Linked DNA regions of Diceros bicornis minor. The protein of the gene in region 2 interacts with the protein of the main gene of each other region in a pairwise test. Links are inferred from orthologs where the notes say so. Each region holds a gene or a part of one and is shown on either strand. Other genes may lie near its edges.

Region 1 (7,702 bases), on a different chromosome or scaffold from region 2:
TAACAGAAGGATGGTTTGGAATGTGTCCGCTGCTGTCGAGAGTGTCGTCATCAAGGGCAGGACTCTGCAGCCAGAAGACTGGGTTTGAATCCAGGCTCTGCCGTGCACCAGCCAGGAGACCTCGGGCAAGCAATTCAACCCCTCGGCGCCCTCCATTTCCTCATCGGTAAAATGGGGATAATAATTCAACACGGAGGGTTGTGGGGAGAACCAGAGGACGTAATTATCAGCTGGCTCAGTGCCTAGGGCACAGTAAGCATGGCACAGCTTCTAACCGGTGGAAGGTTATCAGCTTTCTCTGTAACTGATACCAAGGCTGGTACCAAGGCTGGGGATGAGCTGACATAAGCCACAAAGATGTAAAATGGTTCCCAGATGAGCACTCAGGGTGAGCCAGGCCCTGAGTGCAGGACTGGGGGGATCAGAGGAGAGATTGCAGTCAGCCTCTGCTTGAAACAGGTGAAGGCCATGTTCTCTGAATTCTCCCCAAATGCCACGAGCCCAGGCCTGCCAGGGGCCAATGTCCACTGCATTCAGAAATGGTCTTGACTTTCCATGCCATCTGGAAACAGCGGAGCAACTTGCTGCAGGCAGGTAGGTGACCACCAGCCATCATAATGATGACAGTGGCAAACACACCAGTCTCTCACAGGCCAGTCACGTGCAAGCACAAGGAGGTGGGCGCTATCACTCCCCCACTTCGCAGATGAGAAAACGGAGGCTCAGCAGTGAAGCCATCAGCCCAGATCACTTAGCTTCTGACAGATGGAGTTAGCATTCAAATCCGGGCAGCCCAAGGCCACTCTCCTGCCACTCTGCCCTGGGCTGCATTCCTCACTTCTTGGGCTGTAATGAGAGGCGACCATGGGGGGCCAGCTGCAGGCAGGACGGGTCAAGAAAAGAAGCTGGTCCTGCTACTCCCCGCTTAGGAGTATGACACACCCAGTGACATGACACACCCAGCCCACATTCTGAATCCAGCTCCCAGCAAATACAGAGGCTCACGGACTTTCCTCTCTGCCCACTCCTCACTACCCACCCCCTCCCCTAGCTGGAGCGGCACCTTCCTATGCCTTTCTTCCTTCTCTTCAAGGCCATCTTTAAGCCCCTGATCTTGATGTTGGCTCCTTGATGTGTGTTAAATACATATATATATATCCTCAGTGACATATACCCTCCCAGTCCCAGCACTCAAGGACTGAAGCAATGAGCAATGAGTGGTGGGAACAGATGTCGACACATAGGCCCTTAAAATCATTTGCTGTGTAACCCTGGGTGAGTTGCACTACCTCTCTGATCCTGTTTACTCACTTATAAAATGGAGATGGTAACAGTACCTCCATCACAGGACAACTGTTACACTGAGTAAGAATTCTGTCGCCTCCCTGCTCCGCCCTACCATCTTCAGATCTTTCTTCCTCACCAGCCCTGGTGGCTCCTCCAAATGTGCACCCAGCTACTGGATGAATCAACCAAGGTTTGGGAGGAGAGGATAAGCAAATTCATCTACATTCCTTGGCGAAGGTCAGGTCCCAACATACTCGAGGTGGTCTCTGCCCACCAGGATTGTGAAGATAGGCTTTTTTTTGATGCCTTAAGTACCTACTATGCACAGTCTCTCTTAAACTTCACAGTAACAGATCCTTTGATGAAATATAAACAGCAAGAGATTGAGGCCACACAGCTACTGAGAGGAAGACTCTGGACTGGCCCCCAGGTTGGCCTGACTCCAGAGCCTGCAGTCTTCAGCACCTTCCCACGACACGTTCCCATGATGTGGCCTGCCTCTCCCGGGCAGACCCTGGGTCTCACAGACCACCTCTGAGGCTTTTCTTGGTGCAGCATTCAAGGCTCCAAGGCTAACACCAGGCAGAGTGTGCTACGGCTGTGGGTGACACAAACCCTGGGTGGGGGGGGACAGAGAGGATGCCTAGGGACAGAGGAGGGGCCTGAAAAGAGGGTGTAACAGGCCAGGGGAGAGTAGCCAGGACGCTCCACCAAAGCAGGAGGGAGGGATTGTCCGGGGCTGGCAGGGCTCCCGAGCTGGCTCCAGAAGCACTTTCACAGAGGATCGGAGTGGTGAGTCACCAGCTTCTCCCACACCCAGCGCCCTGGTGGGAGGTGCTGCTCGGTTTGTTGAATGAATGTTGGGCTTAAATGGAAAGATTCTGGCTGGCTGTGGGGAGAAGAGACCTGCAGCCTTTGGAAGAGAACCATCTTCTGCCAGGGTCTCTCTAACCAAATCCACGCTAGGAAGACGAGGGGCCCGAGAGCAGGGAAATGCTCCCTCTCACAGTCATCCTAACTTCTCCGCTCCCGACCTAGCCTACGCCCCTTTACAGCATCACAGCCTCGGTTTACATACCGCCGAGGGCGGGGAGCTCAGTGCCCGCCCGGACAGCGGCACCGCCGGACAGCCCGCCTGTCTGTCCGTTGCTGGAGAGCTCCACCTGGGCGGTCTCGGCTTCCCCACCCTTCCTGCGGAAGGCCCTCTCTCCGAGGTCCCGACCAGCTCTCCGAGTCCGCAAATCTGAGAACCCCGAGGGCCCAGGCGGGCAGAGGGAAGGAACGGAGGGGCTGCGGGGAGGCGCCGCGCACAAGCAGATCCCAACGCCGGGAACAAGACGTCCGCAGCCTCCCTCCCCACAAACCCGCGACCCGAGGATGAGGTGGACCGAAAGGAATCCGGACAGGCTAAGAGAAAAGAACGGACGGACTAGTTGCCGGAGGCACAGACACGGGCACGCAGAGGGTTTGGGGATGGCCGCCCCGACAAGGGTCAGACAAGCAAAATGGACCTCGGCGGCCCTCCGGGGAAGAGGAGGCCGCGGCTGATGGGGAAGTCTGGGTGTGGCCCGGCGGACCAGGAGACACTCACGTTCGCGGCCATGGTAGTACCCAGCTCGCCGCCCCCTCGCTCTGCTCAGCTAAGAAGGGGGCTTACGGCCCGAGTGCGGGGTCCAGTTGCCTCTCCTCTGCGTGAGAGCTGCGACAACCTGCGTTAAGCCCAGAACCAGAGTAGACACGCCAGTAGGTTACCGCCCCGTAGGCCCCCAGCTTTTCTGCTCATGCGCGCCGCACGGCCTCCTGGAAAATGTAGTCCAGGGTCAGGCGCTTTAGCTACAACGTTGCAACATGCACTGTCCGTCATTGATGCGCCTGCGCACTGCAAGCCTTTCTGGGAAATGTAGTTCCTACTCCCCAGAGAGTTGCTGAGCGGCGCGCGGCCTGCTGGGAAATGTAGTTCCTGGCTGAGGCGGGTCAGGCTGGGGCTGGGAGGGCGCGGAAGCAGGCGCGCGGCGGGCAGGCTCGGAGGGGGCGGGTCCGCGGGGGCCTCGGAGCCGCCCGTCGCGCCTGAGGAGAGGTCACGGCGTGAAGCCGCCGCCGCCGCTATCGCTGCGAGATCTGAGCGCTGGGCTGCAGCCATGGCCTACTGCCGGCAGGAAGGTAGGGAGGGCGGGCTGCCATGGAGACCGGCCTACGAGGGCCTGCAGGGGACACGCGGTCTAGGCAGGCCCCGGCGCCCAGCGACCCCACTGCCGGCAATGGCGACCTGGGCCGCGGCTCGGGGTACCCTCCTCCTGACCTTTGGAGCGGGCTGGGCGGCGGTCGCCACCCCCATTTTGCAGATGCGAAAACCGAGACTCTGGGAGGAACGAGGCAGGTCCAAGGTCACGGTGAGGCCGAACTCGGAGCGCAGAGGGACCCGCACGTGGAGACCTCATAAACTAGGCCGGAGGGGGTAAGGGAAGTGCTGAGCACGTTTCCTCTGGCTCGTAACTGGAAATGTATTGTTATTAATTGTTACTGTCCCTCTCACCACGCACCACGTGTTCCATTTGCGTGCGCCTTTTAACTGTCCCCAAAAGTTGCCGCACGGGTTAGGTGCTGTGCTGGAGTGGTAGAGGTGTCGCCAACGGGAACACGTATTGAGCCCCAACTACATATCAGGCACTGTTCAAGGAGCTTTATAAGGCTTATCTCATTGGTCTCACAGCGACCTTTGTAAGTCAGGCTCTGTTGTTATCCGCCTTTTACTAAAGAGTAAACTAAGACTCAGAGGTGACTTGGCTAAAGCCATGCGGCGGTTAAGGCGTGGAGCTGGGGTCAGAGCCCTGGCAGTCCAATTCCAGAGCTGCACTGTCCTATCTGGTGCCGGCTGGATTGCAGGGAGCCCTCTGCTGGGAACCCCCCACCCCCACCCCGTGACCCAACAAACCTGGGCTCCGCCTACCATCCCTCTGCTTCCCTGTTGTTACCTTTACCCGAGAGCTCAGAAGTGTCCAGGTCGGAGGTCCCAGGGCCTCCGGCACACACTGCCATTACTTGGCTCTTTATCCCTGAGCTACCACCTAACCCTCCAAGCCCCAGTTTCCAATCCTGTAAAATGAGAAGTTGGTCTTCATCCATTCAGCAGATACTCGTGAAGCACCTTCCCTGTGCCAGGTGATGGGGATGGTGGACACCTGAGAATATAAAGCTACAGAGAGAGTTGGAACTCATCTAGAAATTCTGTGGTGAATAGTCCCGCCCCTCAGTTTAATTCAGGGAATCTGAAGCCCAGAGAAGATGACCTACCCATACATCCAGTTAGGGGAACAACTCAGTCTAAAATGCTAAGCCTTTTCTCCAGTACCCTACCCTGCTTCTAGAATCCCTCCTCTTCCCTGGGTCATAAAGCCGTAGTACTCACTGATGTCCATACTGAGTACTATTTCTGTTGACTAACACTTCCTTGTGCCATGAACAGAAGTCCTCTGCCCTCACCACTTTGTTAGACAGTAGGTCTCTTGTTTTTAATTTCCTTTTTCTGAGTCTCTAATTTACTTCTTCATTTAGTAAATAATTTTGAGCCTGTTGGATATAATGAGGCTGTGCAGGTAAATAAGGCCCCTCTTGCCCTTGAAGATTTCTAGACGTCACAGGTTATCTGGGAAGGAGAGGCAGTTTCCATCTGCTACCAAAGCATGGATCCTTATCTTTTCCTGGTTGAAAGATCTCTCTCTTAGTTTGGCGATGAGAATTGAAAGCACTCACTTTCAGGCCTTCTCTAGTTTTTATCTTATCCATACTAGTGTCCCCTCAAGCTTCAACTTGTTTCTACCCACTTATTTTTTTATGCTTCCCATGGGACTTAAAAAAAATGATCCCAAACTATTTGCCATTTAAAGGCTCATGTGATCTAGCTCCCGCCCAATCTAGCTTGAGCCTCATCTCTTTCCACCTCACCACTGCTCAGCCACATTGGCCTCTTGGCTGTTCCCTTTGCCTGGTACCTCCTTCCTCCATCTCTTCCATGGCTGGCTCCTCAGCCTTCAAGATTTGGCTCAAATGTCACCTCCTCAGAGAGGTCTTCCCTGACCCTTTGTGTCTTTCACATCCTAAACTCTCTGAAATTACCTTGTTCATTTTTGTCATCTTATTTCCCGTCTGTCTTCTTGGACTAAGCTGAGAGCATTAGATGGGCCACATCCCCAGCACCTAGCACAGAGCCTGATGTACAGATGGATACTCAGATCTTTATTGAATGAACCCATATGCATGCCTGCCCTCTGTTCTGAGTGAATCACTTGCCTGCGCAAATTTACTTCAGGGGTCCATCCACCACGCAGCCTTCAGCACACAGGCCTTAGCTTGGCATTCACGGTGTTCCACAACGTGGGTTCAGCCTCTCTCCCTGGCTTTGGACCACCCATGCTTTTCTGTGTCAGCACCACACTGTTTCTTTTTTGAGTTTCTTCTAATGCTGAGCCTGCCCTCCCCTGTTCAGTCAACAAACATTGATTGAGCTCCTGTGATGCTCCAGCCACTGAGCATGTGAGCACAGATGACACAGTCTGCCTTTGTGGCATGCTGGGAGAGGTGGGCGCTCCTTCTGAGTTGGACATGCTGAGAGTCTGATGTGTAAAGATCCTGTGCATGTTTGTGGTCCCCGTTCTGGGGGAAATGAGACCACCCATCCAAGGGTTTTCTCTCACCTCCTTAATGGTGATAACCGTTCTGTCTTCCTGCCCTCTGCTGGGGCTGGGGTTTTCATGTCCTAATCCAGAGTTCGGTGTCTCCATTTACTTTTTCAACAAATATTGTTTACCCACTATGCTCTGGGCACTGTTGTAGGCTCTGGGATACTGCAGTGAATGGAATAGACAAATCCGTGCCCCTGAGGAGCTGACATTACAGTGGGGGAGACGGGTGGTAAACAGATATATAATATGTTAGGTGAGGAAAAGCACTTTGGAGAAAAAGAGGGTGAGAGATGAGGAGTGGTCAGGGAAGGTGGCATCAGGAGGTGTGAAGTTAGGGAGAGGGTGGCTCTGAGGATATCTGAGGAGAGCATCTGGAGAGAGAGCAGCCTGTGCGGAGGCCTAGAGGTAGGTGTGTGCTCAGCATGTCAAAGTAAAAGCAGGGAGGTGCTGGAATGGAGGGGGCCAATGGTGGGAGATGGGCTCATGGAGGTGAGGGATGCAGATCTTTCTGGATGTGTTTGATGGTAGAGCCAACTGGATTTGATGATGGAGGTGTGAGAGAAAGATAGGGGTCAAGAATGGCTGTATGACTATGGAATTGGGGTATCTTGGTATCCAACTGTTCAATTAGTCCTGTTCTCAGCCCCACCCTGAAGTCCTGTTTTCAGAGTGACCACTGGGGCCTCCGATTCCTGACCCTTACTGGGGTCCTGGGGTGGGGATTAGTTGACTTCCCCTCCTTGTGACTTTGGGTTCAGCTTTCTCCATTTGTCAAGTCAGAGAGCACTCCTCTACCAGCTTTCCTACTTCCAAAATTTTATTGACATGTCTCGCCTCTGATTGTCTCTTTTCCTGGCCATTTTATCCTTATCATTTGATGCCATTTAAAAAATTACTGTCTTTTGAGCAGGATTTCAGGTAAGAGCAGAAACTCATTTCACCTCCTTTGTTAACGAAGTATCTTGACTCTTGCCCTAACCACAGGAGATAGGTAGGCTGAGCTGGTTGGGGAGGCCTGTTTTCTGAGGCCCCAAGACAGTGCCTGAGATCATGGCTGTTATGTGCTTATGCTCAGATTTGAACCCCAATCCTAAGACTCCGGAATATTGATGCCACTGTGAGCCAGACCTCCCAAAGCTGGGCTTAAATCTCAGGCTCAGGCCTGTGCTTTTGTTCTTTCCACAGCTGGTTTTGAGCCCTTACTGTGCCCATGCAACAAACATGAGCACCATCTGGGTACCAGGATTGGGGACGCAAAGATATGTGCCTGCCCAGAAACCACGGTCAGATCACTCAAGGAACCTTCTTTCCCCAGTGCTGTGGTGTGAATGTATCCCCGCTAAATTCATATGTTGAAATCCTAACCCCCATGGGGCCTTTGGAAGTTGCTTAGGTCGTGAGGGTGGAGCCCTCATGGTTGGGATTAGTGCCCCTGTAAAAGAGGCTCCAGAGAGATCTCTAGCCCCTTCCACCCTGTGAGGACACAGTGAGAAGGCGCCTGCTGTGAACCAGGAAGATGGCCCTCACCGGAAGGTGACGGTGCTTGATCTTGAACTTCCAGCCCCCAGGACTGTGAGCAGTAAGTTTCAGTGGTTTATAAGGTACCCGGTTGGTATTTTGCTATAGCAGTCTGAGTGGACCAAGACATCCATGCAGAATGGGAAAAATGCCACCCTCACAGGCTCAGAATGATCAGAGTTCCATGGGATCATTCCCTCCTATACATCATTTCTGTC
Region 2 (7,692 bases):
TTTTGTTTAGTGTGTGGCAGGCAAACTTTTCCCCTCCCCTCAGATAGAAACTAATACAGAACACAAATATATGAAAGAGATACAAGTAGGAGAGTTCTAACTGAAGTAGAAGAGGCTGTATATTGAAGTAGTGGTAAGAGGCAGGCGCTGGAGACAGAAGACCTAAGTTCAAAGGCCAGCTCCTCTCCTCACTAGTTCAAAGAGCCCCAGACTCCCTACGAACCTGGTGTGAAAACCACTGTACTGGATGGTCTCAGCGGCCTCCCCACTTCACATGCTGTGATCTGTAACATTTACCATACAGAAAGTAGACATATATTTTAAAACTTTGGGATAGATTTTTTTTTTTTGTGAGGAAGATCAGCCCCAAGCTAACATCCATGCCAATCCTCCTCTTTTTTTTTTGCTGAGGAAGATCAGCCCCGAGCTAACATCCATGCCAATCCTCCTCTTTTTTTTTTGCTGAGGAAGACCGGCCCTGAGCTAACATCTACTGCCAATCCTCCTCCTTTTTTTTTTCCCAAAGCCCCAGTAGATAGTTGTATGTCATAGTTGCACATCCTTCTAGTTGCTGTATGTGGGACGCTGCCTCAGCATGGCCAGACAAGCGGTGCGTCGGTGCGCGCCTGGGATCTGAACCTGGCCCGCCAGTAGCGGAGCACACGCACTTAACCGCTAAGCCACAGGGCTGGCCCCCTGGGATAGATTTTAATGTGGCATCATTTATTTCAATTTTTAAAAAGACTCTTGAACTGAAAGAGTTTTTTTACTCCTCCTTTCTCACAGAACCAGATTTATACTAGTGTTTTCCAACTACCATCTGCCCCTCAACCAGTAAGCCCCTACCATCTTGCCTATACCTCTCAACACAGGTGCTAAGCTTAGTGCTTGCCTCATCCCTAAAAAGAGAAATAGAGTATTTAAAATCTCCGCATCTGCGTTATAACTTGGCTTGGGAGATACTGGTTTAAAACCATTCTATTTGATTTTTTTAAATTTTTATTTATTTATTTACTTCCCCCAAAGCCCCAGTAGATAGTTGTATGTCATAGCTGCATGTCCTTCTAGTTGCTGTATGTGGGACGCTGCCTCAGCATGGCTGGAGAAGCGGTGTGTCGGTGCGCACCTGGGATCTGAACCCGGGCTGCCAGCAGCAGAGCGCGCACACTTAACCGCTAAGCCACGGGGCCGGCCCCTGATTTTTTTTTAAATATTATTTTCAAAGCCCTCTATAGAAGGAGATTCCATAGCCTACTATAGATTCCCATTCCAATGTTTAATGGCTATACTCATCAGGAAACTTTCTTTCATTTTTGATAGAAATGATTTAATAAAGATCCCCTTCAGGTAATGCTTCTCAACTTTCATTCTTATAACTTTTTTTATAAAGCCTTATAATTAAGTTCTTCGGTACCACTGTATGGCTCTCTTCTGAACTCTCTCATTTTTTTCCCATTTAATTCTCCTTTGGCTATTGACTTTCAATTGAAAACAGGAATTGACTTTCAATTGAAAACAGGTCTGATGAGTGTTCCTAGAATTCTTTGACTTATGACATTGATATATTAAATATTATACATAGTTAAATTATTACAGAGCTTCCAGTTTACATCTTGATAAAAGCATCAACATCTAAACCATGTCATCAGACAATATGCATAAAATTACAGGAATGTGACGACACTTTATGTGTACTTATGTTGGCTAATAAATACACACCCTGCCACGTGTTATAAATTAGGAAACTACTTGACCATATATTGGAACCTTACCTCCACTCAGATCTCCAAACTCTGTCCCTATGACTACAGACAGATGCACAGTGTATCTGATCAGAGTTAAGAACAGACCAACATTTGATCATACTCTAAGCTGTCGAATAGAAGCCCCTATCTACTGAAAGGTGATGGGTTAGACATTTTCTACTGTACCTGCTTCAATTACTGGAAAAAGTATCAGCTAGCACTCTTCTTTGATATTAGAAACAAGAAATTATGTTCCCAGAAGCTTGGAGGAAGAAAAGTAAAGGGTCTTTTATTGGATAGAGCAAAATCAAAGAGCCCTCTAAAATATATTTTAGACATAATCTTACCTCTCTGTTTTGTCACACTAAATGAAATTTCCCCTATCGTTTGTCTGTTGCTGCCTTTTAAATACTGCATTCCATTTTATTGTACAATAGCCCCAAGGATAACCAAATTAGGAAGCTGTTTGACAATGTCTTTTAAACTTAAGCAAACATCACTAGGTAAAATAATGTGGTTTACTTGCTCCTTTTGAATTCCTCTGCACTCTAGGAAAGGACTATCTGCTATTTTCCCCACCCACCCCTATCCTTACCCTCTCCCCTCCTTTCTCACTTAAAACCACACTATTGCAAGTCTTCAGCCCATACACTAAAGAACAAGTTCAGGGCAACCGAGTGCTTGTGAATTGTGCTATAAGCCCATGCTGGGGAAGCTCTGAACACTTGACCTTACTCACGTATCAAAAGAGGTCTGACCATGGTTCCTCAAAACGTTAAACATAGAACTACCATATGACCCAGCAATTCCACTCCTAGGTATACGCCCAAAAGAACTGAAAGCAAGGACTTGAACAGATATTTGCGCATCAGTGTTCACAGCAGCATTATTCACAATAGCCAAAACATAGAAACAACCCAAATGTTCCTCAGCAGATGAATGGATAATCAAATGTGGAATATACATACAATGGAATATTATACAGCCATAAAAAAGAATGAAGTACTGATACATGCTACAAATTGGATGGACCTTGAAAACATTACCCTTAGTGAAATAAGCCAGACACCGAAGGAAAAATATTGTATGATTCTACTTATATGAGGTACCTAGAATAGACAAATTTATAGAGACAGAAAGTAAAATAGAAGTTACCAGGGGCTGGGAGGAGTGGAAAAGGAGGAGTTATTGTTGGATGGGTACACAGTTTATGTTGGGGATGATAAAAAATAGTATGGGTACAGATAGTGATGACAGTTACAATGTGAATGTATTTAATGTCATTGAATTGTACACTTACCAATAGTTAAAATGATAAATATTATGTATATTTTACTGCAATAAAAAAAATTACTTAGGGGGCAAAAAAAGTCAGTTCTGGACTGAGCTCTGTAGTGGGGGCAGCTTAGAGGGCACCTGAGATTTAAGGAGACAGTCATTACCCAGAGTTTGAGAGGGTGACGACTTCCTCTATATTCCAATCCCACCCCTGCCCCAAGTAGGGTGGGGAGCTAGAAGAGGGACTCGGAGGTGAAGGTGTCGGTAATGTCTGCAGGAAGAGGCAGCTATGGGCACTGAAGAGACGGCTTCCAAGTCTCCATGACACCCAGAGCCTTCCCCACCCCGCCAAGCCAGCCTCCCCAAGTAAGGGGGATCAGTGGTCAGGAAGCAAAAGACAGAGACCTGACCAGGCCAGCTCTCACGGAATTTATGTAAACTTTTTCATTTTGCTTATTTTTCAAGTGTCACGAGAGTCAATTCTGGAACAAGCAGGCTACAAAAAGATGCTTTTATTCTCTGGCCTGCTGATATAAGACAGTAGATAGAGTGGAAACAAGAAAACTTTGGCGAGGGCTTTCATCTCCAAAATGTTCGAGGTTATTTAGAAGGGTAGGTGTTTTCTTTTACACACACACACACACACACACATATATACATATATATATTAATACTATGGTTGCATATTCTTTGCAATTATTCTTAAATCTAAAATTAATTTTAAAAGAAAAATGAAGGACTTGCAACACCAGAACACAGACTTAGTAATTTTTCCCCAGCCATCTCATACTCCACTATGTAATTGTTTTAAAGTTAGGCTTCCAACAACAAGATTTTATATTAGTTTTTCTTATTCTCAACTACTCTGTAGCAAATTAGAAAACCACCAACACATACGTTATTTGCTATAAGAAGTGAATGTTTAGAATAATGCCTGCAACATAGTAGCTCTCAAAAACTGGTTAAATGAATTCACAGATGCTTCAGATGCAAAACTTCAGACAGAACCAGCAAGTTAAAACCTCACCAAAAGGCGGGAAAGAGGAAGCATTCATTTTATTGGTTGAGTGCATAGCAAATAAGTTGCTAATGAGGTTTTGATGAACGCTTCTCCCTCCACAAAACTAGGAAGGGTTAGCCAGGCGACCACTAAAAGCAACCACCTTTTATTACCTTTGTTATTGAACTGACCTATTGTTAAACCCCGACGAGGCAGCCTTCAACGAGGCAATATCCTGTTTGAATAATTTAGGCAGGGGCAGAGGCCCGCCGACACAGCGCGTCTGTGTGAGAGAGAGCCTCCCTCAGTCGTTCCCATTTCCTGTATCTGCAGCCGGCTGCCCATTTTTAAAATCCCCTAGTTACAGTCCGGGTAGAAAAAAGCCCAACTTCATAGGAGGCTAAATGTATGGTGCCTTGTTAGGCAAATGTTTCACCTGCTTGGCCAATTAGCTTCCTCTCCCCCAGAAAGACTAGTTCAACAGGTTTCCTTTTTCTCTTCCTCTGCCTCCTGGGTTGGGGAAAGAGGCTGTCACTTCGCTTCGACCCTCCCCTTCCCTCCCTCCGGCTCTTCCACGCTCGCTCGGCCCAATCGCTCGGGCTCGACCGTGTCCAGGTTGGCAGCCGGCCGCGCTCGCACGGCCTGGATGCGCCGAGCGCCCGGGGGGCGCAGGGGACGGCGCGGCGCGGCTCCTGGGCCTGCGCCCCGGCCGCTGGGAGCGGCGGGGAGGAGGCGGACGAGACTGCAGGCGCGCCGAGGTCTGAAGGTGCCCTCCAGACGCGGCCCTGATGACTGAGCTACAGCAAGATGTGGAAGACACAAAGCCTGCCAAAGTGCTCGGGAAGAAAGAGAGCAAAGTTGGCTCGGCCCAGTAAGTATGCTCAGCTGAGACCCATCCGAGGCGGCAGAAAGTGCGCTGCCCGAACTTTTCCGCCAGGGACGAGTTGGGAGTGGAAACGGTTTTCTGGAACTTTAACATGGAGAGCCCTGCCTGAGGCTTGAACTCTTTCCGTGGCGCCGGGTGTCTTTTTTTTTTTTCCCTCAGATTCTGTAGTAGAGAAAAAGCACAGGAGCATTTCAGGAATGTACTGTAGCTTGCAGTCCGGTGGGGATGTGAATTCTTTGAGCCGAAAGCACTATTGGTGTTTTATAATTCCCGAGAGAGGGCTGCGGAAACCACTCAGATCTCTCAGTCGTGTCAAGCGACAGCGCGAACATTTATTTCTGTTGTTTTTACTTCATAATGACGTGCGGGTAGATGCGGTTGTCTCGTAGATGTCATCTGGTCCTTAGCTTCACAATGATGTGTTTTTTGTCATTTGATTCAGAGCTTGAGAGTGTCTTTCCTCCATCTCCTTCACTGTGCCCCTCAAGAGAGGGGAAAAGTAGTGGAAAACGTAAAATATGCTTTATCTTTCCCCTCTGAGACTGCCTGCCTGCCTTTCGTTGGGTACTTAAACTTGTTACATACTTGTTATTGAGAGAGGGTGTAGGGGTGGAGTGGGGGAGCACAACTAACATGTAATAAAACAGTTCACATACTGGTTATGACTATCTTATGAGATTCGTGTGCATAACAGGATTTGCACATTGTTTGACCTATAAATTCTTATGGTTTAAGAAACTGAAAATTCAAATATTTTGATCACAAGGATTAACTTCCTGTACTGAAACTTATCTTCCCCTGTACTACTTTGGGTTTTTTTAATCCAGAAGTATGATTATTTACATGATTGTTATTCCCAAACATTATTCTTTCAAAAAGGAACAGAATCTTTCAGTATTTGCTATATCACTATAACATTAAGTAACATTAAGATAAATATCTAAATAAGATATTAAGATAAATAAATAAGCCCAATTATATTTTTTATGTTACCAAGCTGTTGGGGGTACCTAAGATGCTTTATTGATACTAGTATAACAAGATGATAAAAATTTTAGTAATGAAGATTAATCTCCATCATTCATTATTTCAGCTTTTACTCATTTTTTAAAACACAGCCTCATTCCATGTAATGACTTGTGTTTATAAAGGCATTTGCCACGTGTGTATCTGTTGAAGTTTGGGCTGAAGTTTTGAAAGAAGAATAGATTTATTAGCTGCTTTGATTTGTAATTTCAGAGGCGTTGATCGTTTTCTCTCCCAGTGGCTGCTTTCCTTGGCTGCTCATTCTTTTGCCCTCCCAGCTTTGTCGACTCAAGCTGATGTTCTTTCCTCTACAATAGATAAAAGATGACAGAAAAAATCGCTAGAGGTATAACCCTCACAAAATGTTTTTGTTTTCTCACCCAAAAATAAAATCCTAACTCTATACTAATAATTCAAGCCCAAGAAAAAGATGAACTAGCAAACAGCATCCATTTCCTTTGCACCTAATCATTCTTTTATATACTGTCCTTCCCTGAAAGGAAAATGTGGATAGTAATGTGGATAATCTTATGTGGATAGTCTTACCACCATTTCAGATGTTGGAGGTGACAGGGGGACTTTCAACTCCTAGTCTAGAACTCATCCAAAGGCAGTATTTAGTTCCAGTTACACAAAGCAGAATGATTCAAGTCCACCATATAGCTACGAAGTTTTAAATCTTCACATTCCCAGTAGTCTAGATACTTAGTTAAGGAGATCATTTTGATTGCAAAAGATCAACACAGCAGTAAATGCTACTGTAGCGTTTAGACTAATTATATTAACGTAAAACTCTTCAGATGCTGGGAAAATAATTTTGTAGAATATGCACCTAACCACGTCGATGCTCAAGGCCCCAAACAGCCAGCCCTTCATTTGGAACAGCCGGTTCCACAAATTTATTTCAGTTCAACAAATGTTGGAATATGTCCCATTTGTTCAGTAATGGTGGGGAATACAAGAGTGAATGTGATTTGGTATCTGCCCTTCTGGAACTCTAAGAGCAGTGTTGAGCGGAGGCACATATGTATATCACTGTACTTCAAGGGACATTGGTAGCCATCGTCACATTAAACACACCAACAAGATAGTGTAAAAAGTTTGGCCTATAACTGAATCTTTTCCATAGTCAGGATGTTTATCCCTTTGGCAGTCTTTGGTAAAATTCTCTTGGGTTTTATTTTTATTGGTTGTTTTGTTTGTTTTTCCCTACAAAGTGGTGATTTCCAGGCCTACTGAAGTCACTTCTGATTCAATCTAACATTTTTGACACTCTTCTTCTGAGCTCTTAAACTCTTGCTTTGGTAACAGAATACGAGTAATTTTAAGACAGAGGTAGATACATTATCACAGTGATGTTTTAGTGCGATAATTCCATATTTGAAATCATTTTGAGTAGCAAAACTTTTATGCTTAGAAACCCAGTCTAACTTCTGTTTTGAACTTTGTAACTTAGATGAATTGTCACTAAGCTCAAAGTTGTTGAAGTCCGGGTGTCCCAATGGACATTTTCTTCTAAGAGTGTTAGAATGGCTTGCTCCTCCCCATTTTCCTATGTCTGTAACTACACCCACATAGGCCTCACCAGCTAGAACCTGGCCTCCTAAGTAATAATAGCTGGCATTTATTGAGAATGCTTGCTATGTGATGGGCAGTGTGCTCAACACTTTACATTCATGTTCATACAGAATGAGGTGGATACTATTGGGATCTCCATTTTACAGATAAGAACCTTGGAGCTCTGAGAAGTTAAGCAA
Region 3 (7,890 bases), on a different chromosome or scaffold from region 2:
TGTGTTCCCTTTTCCTGCCTCAGCAATCGTGGAAACATATGTTGAGATGAAGTCTCCTTTGGCCTAGATCCTTGAGTAACCACCATGAGCAGAGCCCCTTGCTGGCCCTTGTTGGCCAAGTAGTGTAAGTGAGAAGTAATCTTTCATCGTTAGGTCACTGATAATTGGGGAATTTTGTCACCACAGCATAATCTTGCCCCTCCTGCCTAGTACCTGGTACAGGTACTAATACACCCCCTTCCTAGAGCCCATAGGAATGGCACTTACCTGTTCACTCTCTGAGGTCACTGAGGTCAGATGTGAATTCCTGGACATACAAAACTGCTGGGCACTGTACCAGGTCTTTGGGATGCGAGAAAAGTAATAGAAGTTCCCCCTGAAGTACTTCCAGCCTTGAGAGACCACCTGGAGAATGTCATCTGGGGAACAAGTGTGAAAGGTGACCACTGGTGTCCTGTCTTCTCTGGGTGCTGGGTGGGATGGGGTACTTGAGTGGGATCCCAGAGGGGAATGGGGCTGGGCTCTGGGGACCTTGGGTCCTTGTGTAGGGACTTGGGGACACTCTCTTAGATCATGTAAGTCTGACTGAGATTGGTAGAGTCTCCGGGCTCAGAGAGGGGAAAGTGAGAGTAGATGGGTCAAGAATCTGTCTCTCTCATGAAGGAGAAACAATTCTCCATTGGCCATCACAAGCGGCTGAGCCCTGGGGCTCTAGGAAAGGAACTTAATGGGAAATGGCTAGGTTTGGGCCAGGACAGAGAGACTCCCTAATGCTTGCATATTCTGTGCCTTGGTATGGGAGCCCAAGCTGGTTCCTGGTCCCTTCTCTCCTGAACAGCCCCTAAATCTTCCCCAACCCCAATGCTGAGCCCACTTTTCTTAACTTTCCAGCCATTTCTGCTCTGCTCCTCTCCCCCTCCCTCCACACACACCAGCCCTGTGGCCTCAGGCCTGAGGTTGGCAAGGTCCCATGGGCCACTAGTCAGCTTGCAAAGTGACTTCTTTTCTCAGTCACTTACTTTGCTGTTTGAGCGACTTGCTGATATTCTCCAAACTGCTCTGGAGTCCCCGGACCTTTGCATTTAAAGCACTGGCTTTATCCAAATCTCTTTTTAACTCGGGGATTTGGGCATTTAAATTATTGACTTCCTCCCAACTTCTTGTTAGTGTCTGGATCTGAGCATTGGCTTCCTTCACACCGGTTTCCAACCTCTGGATCTGAGAACGCACACGATCCAGGCTGGCATTCACCATCTGGACCTGAACACCGGCCACCTCCACGCCACCTCTATTCCTCTTAATTTCAGAACTCAAGGTGCTGATGTTGTCCACACGACCTTTCAGCAACTGGGCATTGGTCTTTACATCTGATATTGTGCCCATAAACCAGGAATCTGGATTTGAGAAAGTCAAGAAGTCAGCTGAGGCGATCCCCAGGGGCAGGAGTGGGGGTGTCAGGTGATAAAAGGAAGGGAAGGGAAGGGACAAGCTCAAGCTTCTCAAGGACTCAACCCAAAGAGCTGTCACCTATCTTCCATTCATTCACAATGTATTCTTTCAACAAACATGCAGTGGGCACCTACCATGTGCCAGGAACTCTGGTGGCTGCAGATAACGCAGAGATTGATAGAACACAGGATCTCTGTTAGAGGACCTCACAGGCAAGCAGAAGTGGGGATTAGTACCCAGTCCTCAATTTTCTTTGAGTGTTCAGGGCAACTCAACCACCCCCTCGTCCCCTCCCCACATCCCTCTGGGCCCCACCACTTGATTCCCGGCCCTCTCCTTTCAGAGACCCATGCAGTGGCCATCAGCTAGGGCAGGACTACCCCTCCCACATCTGTGCACAGGCTTCTCCTGACCACGGGAGGGGCAAGCCATGCAGTCTTCTAATCTGGAAGTGACTTCTCCAGAGAATACGGAAAGGGAGAATTATGAAACCATTTTTCCCTTCCTTCATTCCACCCACTGTCACAGGCTCGGGTGCCATAGAGGAGTCCAAAAGTAAACCAAGAAGGCTCAAAATGGAGGAAACTCTGCTCAGAGGCTCCAGGTCTGAGACCAAATATGTCTGAGGCCTGGAAGGGAGAAGACAGATGTTCCCTCCCTCTGCTTTCTGGTGACCCAGTGGGAGGAAGAAGGCTCTGCCAGCAGCAGAGGCTATGAGGCTTGGCAAAGCCACAAGAGGAAGAAAGATAAGTCACACACCAAGGAAGAAAGAGGAAGACTCCCTCAATGTGATCTCCACAGGAACAGGAGAATGAAGAGAGTGCAGCGGGGTCCTGGTGAGGGATGAGCTGTGGACATGTGTTGGCTCCTTGGCCAAGTTCTCCATCTAGTCAGTTGGGGCTGAGGATACAGTTGGGACCCCATTCCTTGTGGGGACAGGAAACATTTTGCTCACTGTTGGGGGCTGCCCACAAGGCTCTGAACCAAAGGGACACAGAGCTCAGAGAGGGAGGAGAAAATGACGAGGGGTGAAGAAATAGGTGAACGTTTCTTGGGGCAATAGGTGAATAGGTGAATGTATCTTTGAGCATAAGCACATTAAGTGTTGATCCTATTCAGGAAAATCTCCCTGGAATTGGGAAGAAGACAGCAGGAGCACATCTTACTGGGAACGGGATCCTTGTGACTGCACGTGGAAGGAGGAGAAACGAGACAAATGAAAAAGCCACAGGCGGGAGAGACCACCGGAGAGCAGGAAAGAGAGGGTCTGGATGTCGAGAGAGCTGACTGGCTGTGGAGAAGACCCAGGCCCAGACAGTTAAACCTGAGGACTTACAGAGAAAGGCCTGCAGCAGGACAGAGGCGACCAGGACCAGCGTCAGGAAGATTACTGCAGCACGGACTGTGAGAAGTTTCCTCGGAACCAGAGGCAGACCCGTCTTGGGAGGAGGCTCTGTTGGAAGAAAAAAATGTTTGTTGAAGGACCAGCAAACAGCAGGTTTTGGAGCAGAGCACTGAGCAGATTCTGAGCAGTGACTGGTGCTTGCCTCGGGGCCAGAGGGAGATGTTCTGTTTATCTACAGTGAAGTGCGCATCGGGGACCTCACTCTCTGCAGCCTTCATCCCGCACGCTCACCCTTGCAGCACAGGTGCTTCCAGCTGGCTCTCTCCCCAAGGACCTTTTATCCAGAGGAAAAGGGAAGTGAGTCCCACAGGAAGCCATCATGTCATCCCAAAGTTCCGCATTCCTGACTTAGACACCTTGTCTGGCCTAGGCCATAGCTCAATCCTCTCCTCAAAGATCTAAGCTTTCAGGAAGAGGCCATTTGTCTTCTTCCCTGAGGGATCTGTTACATGGACACTTTAATTATCTGGTCCCAAGGCTATCCTATTTCTCTTATGAGACTCCTCTCATCCATCATCCATCCACCAGACACATATTAAGTGTCTTCTAGGTACCAGTCACTGGACTAGGACTGGGTCACAAAGGTGAATAGCTCAGTCCTTGAACTCAAGTAGCTCACAGTCTGGTAGGAAAGACAGGCCTGAGCAAATAAATTACAATACAGGGTGATGAGCATAACAATACAAGAAAATGCCCTTCAAAGGAAGTATAGAGAATGGAGTACTGGGGGAAAGTTCCAGGTGGAAGGATTAGCATATTCAAAAATATGAGGGCATCAAACGGCATGGAGTGGCTGGCAAACTACAAGTAATTTGGCAATGTTGAAGTGTACAGTATATGACAGGAGCAGGCAGGTCACGGGGCTAAAGAGGCACCTGGCATCAGATCATGAAGATCATTTTGGGTCATGTTAAGGAGCTTGAACTCTGGCTGATGGGTGACTTCAGGCAGGAGAGAGACAAGGACAGGGACATAATAGAAAGATTGCTCTGATCGTGGTGAGGAGCACAGATTAGGGTATGGGGAACCTGCAGGCAGGGAGACCATAAAGAGACCATTGCAATAAAATATCCTCCTTTCTGTTATCAAGGCATCTTAGATGAGACAGTATCCCTTTATAAAACGAAGCTTGGAGATTCAAAATGTAAATGTAAGATTTGAGTTCTCCTCCCTGCTTCCTGCACATGTCAGCTTCCCAAAGTGGGGGGCTCAGCTGGGAACCATTCTTTCATATATGGGAGATGCACAGAGCAGAGAGGAGTTATTTAGGGGCTCAGCGAAGGACTAAGTTTTCTCCTGGGCAGCTTCTCATGCTTTGAAGAAGTCTGTGAAACCTGACAAACCTGGAACATAACAGATTCCAAATAAATATTTCTTGGAAAGTAGAGAAGAGAAGAAAGGAGAGAGAGAGGGAAGGAGAAAAGGAAGATAACGGGATGAGTGGGTGGATGGATAGATGGATGGATGGACGGATGGATGGGTGGTTGGATGGATGGATGGATGGATGGATGGATGGATGGATGGATGGTAAGATGAATTGATGGATGGATAGAAGATCAATGGATGGAGGATTGACGGATGGATAGATAAAAGATAAATGAATGGAAGAGTTGATGGCAGATCATTACTAAACTCAAACCTACAGTCTGTGGACTGAGATCTGTCTTCCAGAAGCTGCTGTTTCTTTCCAGCAGTTCTCATTCATTTACACAGTAAATGCATGAGAGAAGTATGATTTACACCTTACCCAAGAATGCAAAACGACTCTGGCCACAGGACTAAAAAGCTGGCCCAGCCTTGCTGAGTCTGAGCCAGTGGATCTGGATGACAGAGTGGGCAGGGACAAGGGTTGGAAGCTAAATGAGCAGGGCCAAGGGAATAGCCACCTACACTTGCAGGGGCTTCTGCTGCCTTTGATATGTGAGAGGATCCTACCTCCTGCTCCGCCCATTGTGCTTACAGGTCCCTTGCTGCCCTGCCTCCAGACTGACTAGACCTCTGACTCGAGCTGCTTCTCTGACTGGATGAGGGAACCCAGAGAGAACTCCACGCCATACTTCCCAAGTGCTAGGAAAGAAGCTGGATCGCAAGGATGGTGTTCATTCACCCTATCTCATCTCCTCCCTACCCACATTCTGTCTATAGCTTCAATCTGTTTAACGTTTGACATTAGCTAATCCCACAAACTGAAGGCTCACTAACTCACTGCCTGTCTCTGAACATTTATAACTACACTCACTCTCTTCAAGCTGCTCATCTAGTTGCAGAGCCTTGGTTCCACCAGGGCTCAGAGGGGTTAGAATGTTCTGCTTCTGAGCTCTCGTGCCTGGTACCCAGTCTAACCCCAGAGTCACCTCCACCCTTCTGCTCCTGGATCCTGGTCCTACATTCACAACCTGTTATAGTCCAGGGCCTGGGGGTGGAGAAGAATCCAAGTTACTCAAGACTCTGGTAGAAGCTGCCCTTGGGGGTCCTGGTCTCCTCCTAAGGCATTTCAGGGAGAGAAGCTGCCACACAACACAACTTGAGGGTATCTGGCCCCTTCCCTCTCTGTCAAAAAGTTGACTTTTCCCAAACCTCTGCTGGTATATAGCATGAGTTATTGATGGAATGCCCATGTGCCCTCTCAGTGGTCCCAGGAAAGGATCCGGAAGCCTCACCAAGCTGCGGCCCACTGCGTAAGAAGCGGCTGAGGTTGGGGAGCATTTACTCCAAGTGATAGAAATGGGGGCCTCAGGTAGATACTCTGCTGATCACTGGGCAAGACGCTGATCCAGCATGAGGAAGCTGGGCAAGAAGCAACCAGAATCCTGGGCTGTGGGCTCTCTGGGGTTTCAGAGACAATGGGTATGAAAGTCCCGGCCATAAGGAGTTTCGTTTCCCACTTGGCGGAGAAGGAGTGAGTCACAGCTGTTTTCCTTTGGCCATGCTTGTCTGCAGGTATTTACTGAGGACCTCTCCCACCCATCCCTCTGGGCGCTCTATCTGGCCCCTGGCCTGACAGTCTGGGAGGAGAAAAGACAGAGCGTGAGGCGGGTGCCTCAGCCATGGTTTCTGGACAGGAAAATGGATGGGCAATTCTCCTGGACACTCAGGAGATCCCAGCTCTTCCAAACAGAGGAGGAACTTTGGGCCAGCCCTAGAGTGACCAAAAATCACCGCTGTGATGAAAGAAAGGGAAGTCTGTGCTCATTTCTCTGTTTCCACATTTGTCATGCTCCCGGGGTTCTAGACCTTCTCTGGATAAGGGTGGAGGAAGGAAACAGTTGGCCACTTCTCTACTTCTCTGGTTGAGACTCTGCTTATGCTTGGGGGTGGCCCAGGGACAAAATCAGTGGAAGTGGAAAAGAGGCCTAGGTTGTTTGAAATGCCCCAGCAGGGCCGAGCGTCATCTCCGAGGGGTAGCAATCTGAGTCCCTCCAGTTAAGGCAGAGAGGAAACTAGAGTGGACAATAAACCAGAGAGACAGAGGACAGAGGAGGAGAAGGGGGACAGGAGAGGGGAGAATGACTATGAAATGAGAAAGGAGACGCTATTACTGCTGGTCGGGCCTGCTCCACAGGCCTCAGATGGGATTCCTGTGTATAATGTAATGCAGGATTTGACCAGCAGACCCCAGATAATCAAGGGATTCCATGCCACCCTCTGGATGTGTGCCCTGGAAACAGAGGATAGGGCAGAGAAATGAAGAAGAAAGGAGTGGTAGGTGAGACCATTCATCCATCCATTCCTCTGGAATGCCTGCTGTGCACCAGGTGAAAGGAGAAAGACAGCCATAGCCCTGCCCTCAGAATAGTGTTCTTCTTGTTGAAAAAATTCGGCATCCTTAATTCTGGGGAGAAGGGAAGACTCCCCCAAGACTGAAAAGGACCGGGGACACTGCAGGGGGGCTTCTCCAGGTCTCCCTTGACCCTGGAACAGGTTCCTGTTTTTTAGGACATTATGTAGGGGAAAGTTTCTCTGGAACAGTGACAATGGGCCAGACCTCAGTGAACAGGCCATTATGTCTGGTGCCATCATAACCAACATGGTATGGATATGGGTGGGCAACCTGGCTACACGGAGGGATTGCTGTGTTCCAGGCAGAGGAGGCAGCTTTGAACCATCCAAGTCAAGGAGCTCTTGCCTGTGGCCTTAGTAGGAAGGGCAAATTCATGTCAAGAAAGCTGCAAAGGGCTCTTGGAAAAAGTATGCATAGTTTATTTTTAAATCTTTTATTTCTCTATTATATAACTAATGATATTCGTTATAGAAAAAATGCAGGTTAGCAAAAAGAAAAAAAATTACTTACCATACAGAAAAAAAAAACCCAGCTGTATACACAGTTCATTCTTCCTAACTGTCTATACATCTACATCTATCTCCACAGCTATATCTGATGAAAACTGTGCAAATATTTATATAAGTATTGAACAGGACAGCCCCTATGTATTTTCTCTAGCATCTTTCCCACCCCTATTTCTGATATCAATATCCCCCACTCCTATATCTGACATCCTTTGGGAAACTACTGCCCCTTTTCAGCGCTCATATTGCTTGCCTCATAGCCAGCATCAGCAGGTTGAGTTTTCATCACATCCCATCACTCTGACACCGAGTCCTCTGCCTCCTGCTTCCACTTTTAAGGACTCTTATGTTGGGCCCACCTAGATAATCCAAGATAATTTCCCTATCTTAAAGTCAGCTGATTAGCAACCTTAATTCCACTTTGCCATGTAACTTAATATACTTCCAGGTTCTGGGGATTAGGATGTGGACATCCTTGTGACCATTATTCTGCCTACCACACTTCCTCATCATATTAAGTTAGCGTAGGCTTAACAGATCCATTCAGAAAGCTTGGGATATATCCCTGGAGTTTGAGAGATATAGAGCCTTGTACCTGACACATGAATGAAACTCTATGGCCTTCAGTAGGTGAATGGATAAAAGAACCATGATACATCCAGAGAACAGAATATTATCCAGCACTAAAAAGAAATGAACTATTAAGCCACGAAAAGATATGAAGAAACCTTAAATGTATATTACTAAGT

The links.
Region 1: the proteins of GRAMD2B (region 2) and TMEM43 interact in binary tests that used the Homo sapiens proteins (3 or more experiments, as listed by UniProt). The two-hybrid records come from large-scale screens. The link is inferred for Diceros bicornis minor from reciprocal best matches to the Homo sapiens genes GRAMD2B and TMEM43.
Region 3: the proteins of GRAMD2B (region 2) and CD207 interact in binary tests that used the Homo sapiens proteins (3 or more experiments, as listed by UniProt). The two-hybrid records come from large-scale screens. The link is inferred for Diceros bicornis minor from reciprocal best matches to the Homo sapiens genes GRAMD2B and CD207.

Annotation. Positions count from the first base shown.
Region 1 is NC_080741.1:88,707,522-88,715,223, forward strand, and holds the start of TMEM43 (transmembrane protein 43), read right to left. Parts: upstream 3,065-7,702; 5' UTR 2,891-3,064; coding exon 2,879-2,890; intron 1-2,878. Other genes in the region: CHCHD4 (mitochondrial intermembrane space import and assembly protein 40), read left to right, coding at 3,467-3,677. UniProt on the Homo sapiens protein: May have an important role in maintaining nuclear envelope structure by organizing protein complexes at the inner nuclear membrane. Required for retaining emerin at the inner nuclear membrane.
Region 2 is NC_080740.1:46,731,593-46,739,284, forward strand, and holds the start of GRAMD2B (GRAM domain-containing protein 2B), read left to right. Parts: upstream 1-4,626; 5' UTR 4,627-4,811; coding exon 4,812-4,894; intron 4,895-7,692.
Region 3 is NC_080751.1:17,712,110-17,719,999, reverse strand, and holds the start of CD207 (C-type lectin domain family 4 member K), read right to left. Parts: upstream 3,073-7,890; coding exon 2,997-3,072; intron 2,903-2,996; coding exon 2,786-2,902; intron 1,395-2,785; coding exon 1,020-1,394; intron 420-1,019; coding exon 268-419; intron 1-267. UniProt on the Homo sapiens protein: Calcium-dependent lectin displaying mannose-binding specificity. Induces the formation of Birbeck granules (BGs); is a potent regulator of membrane superimposition and zippering.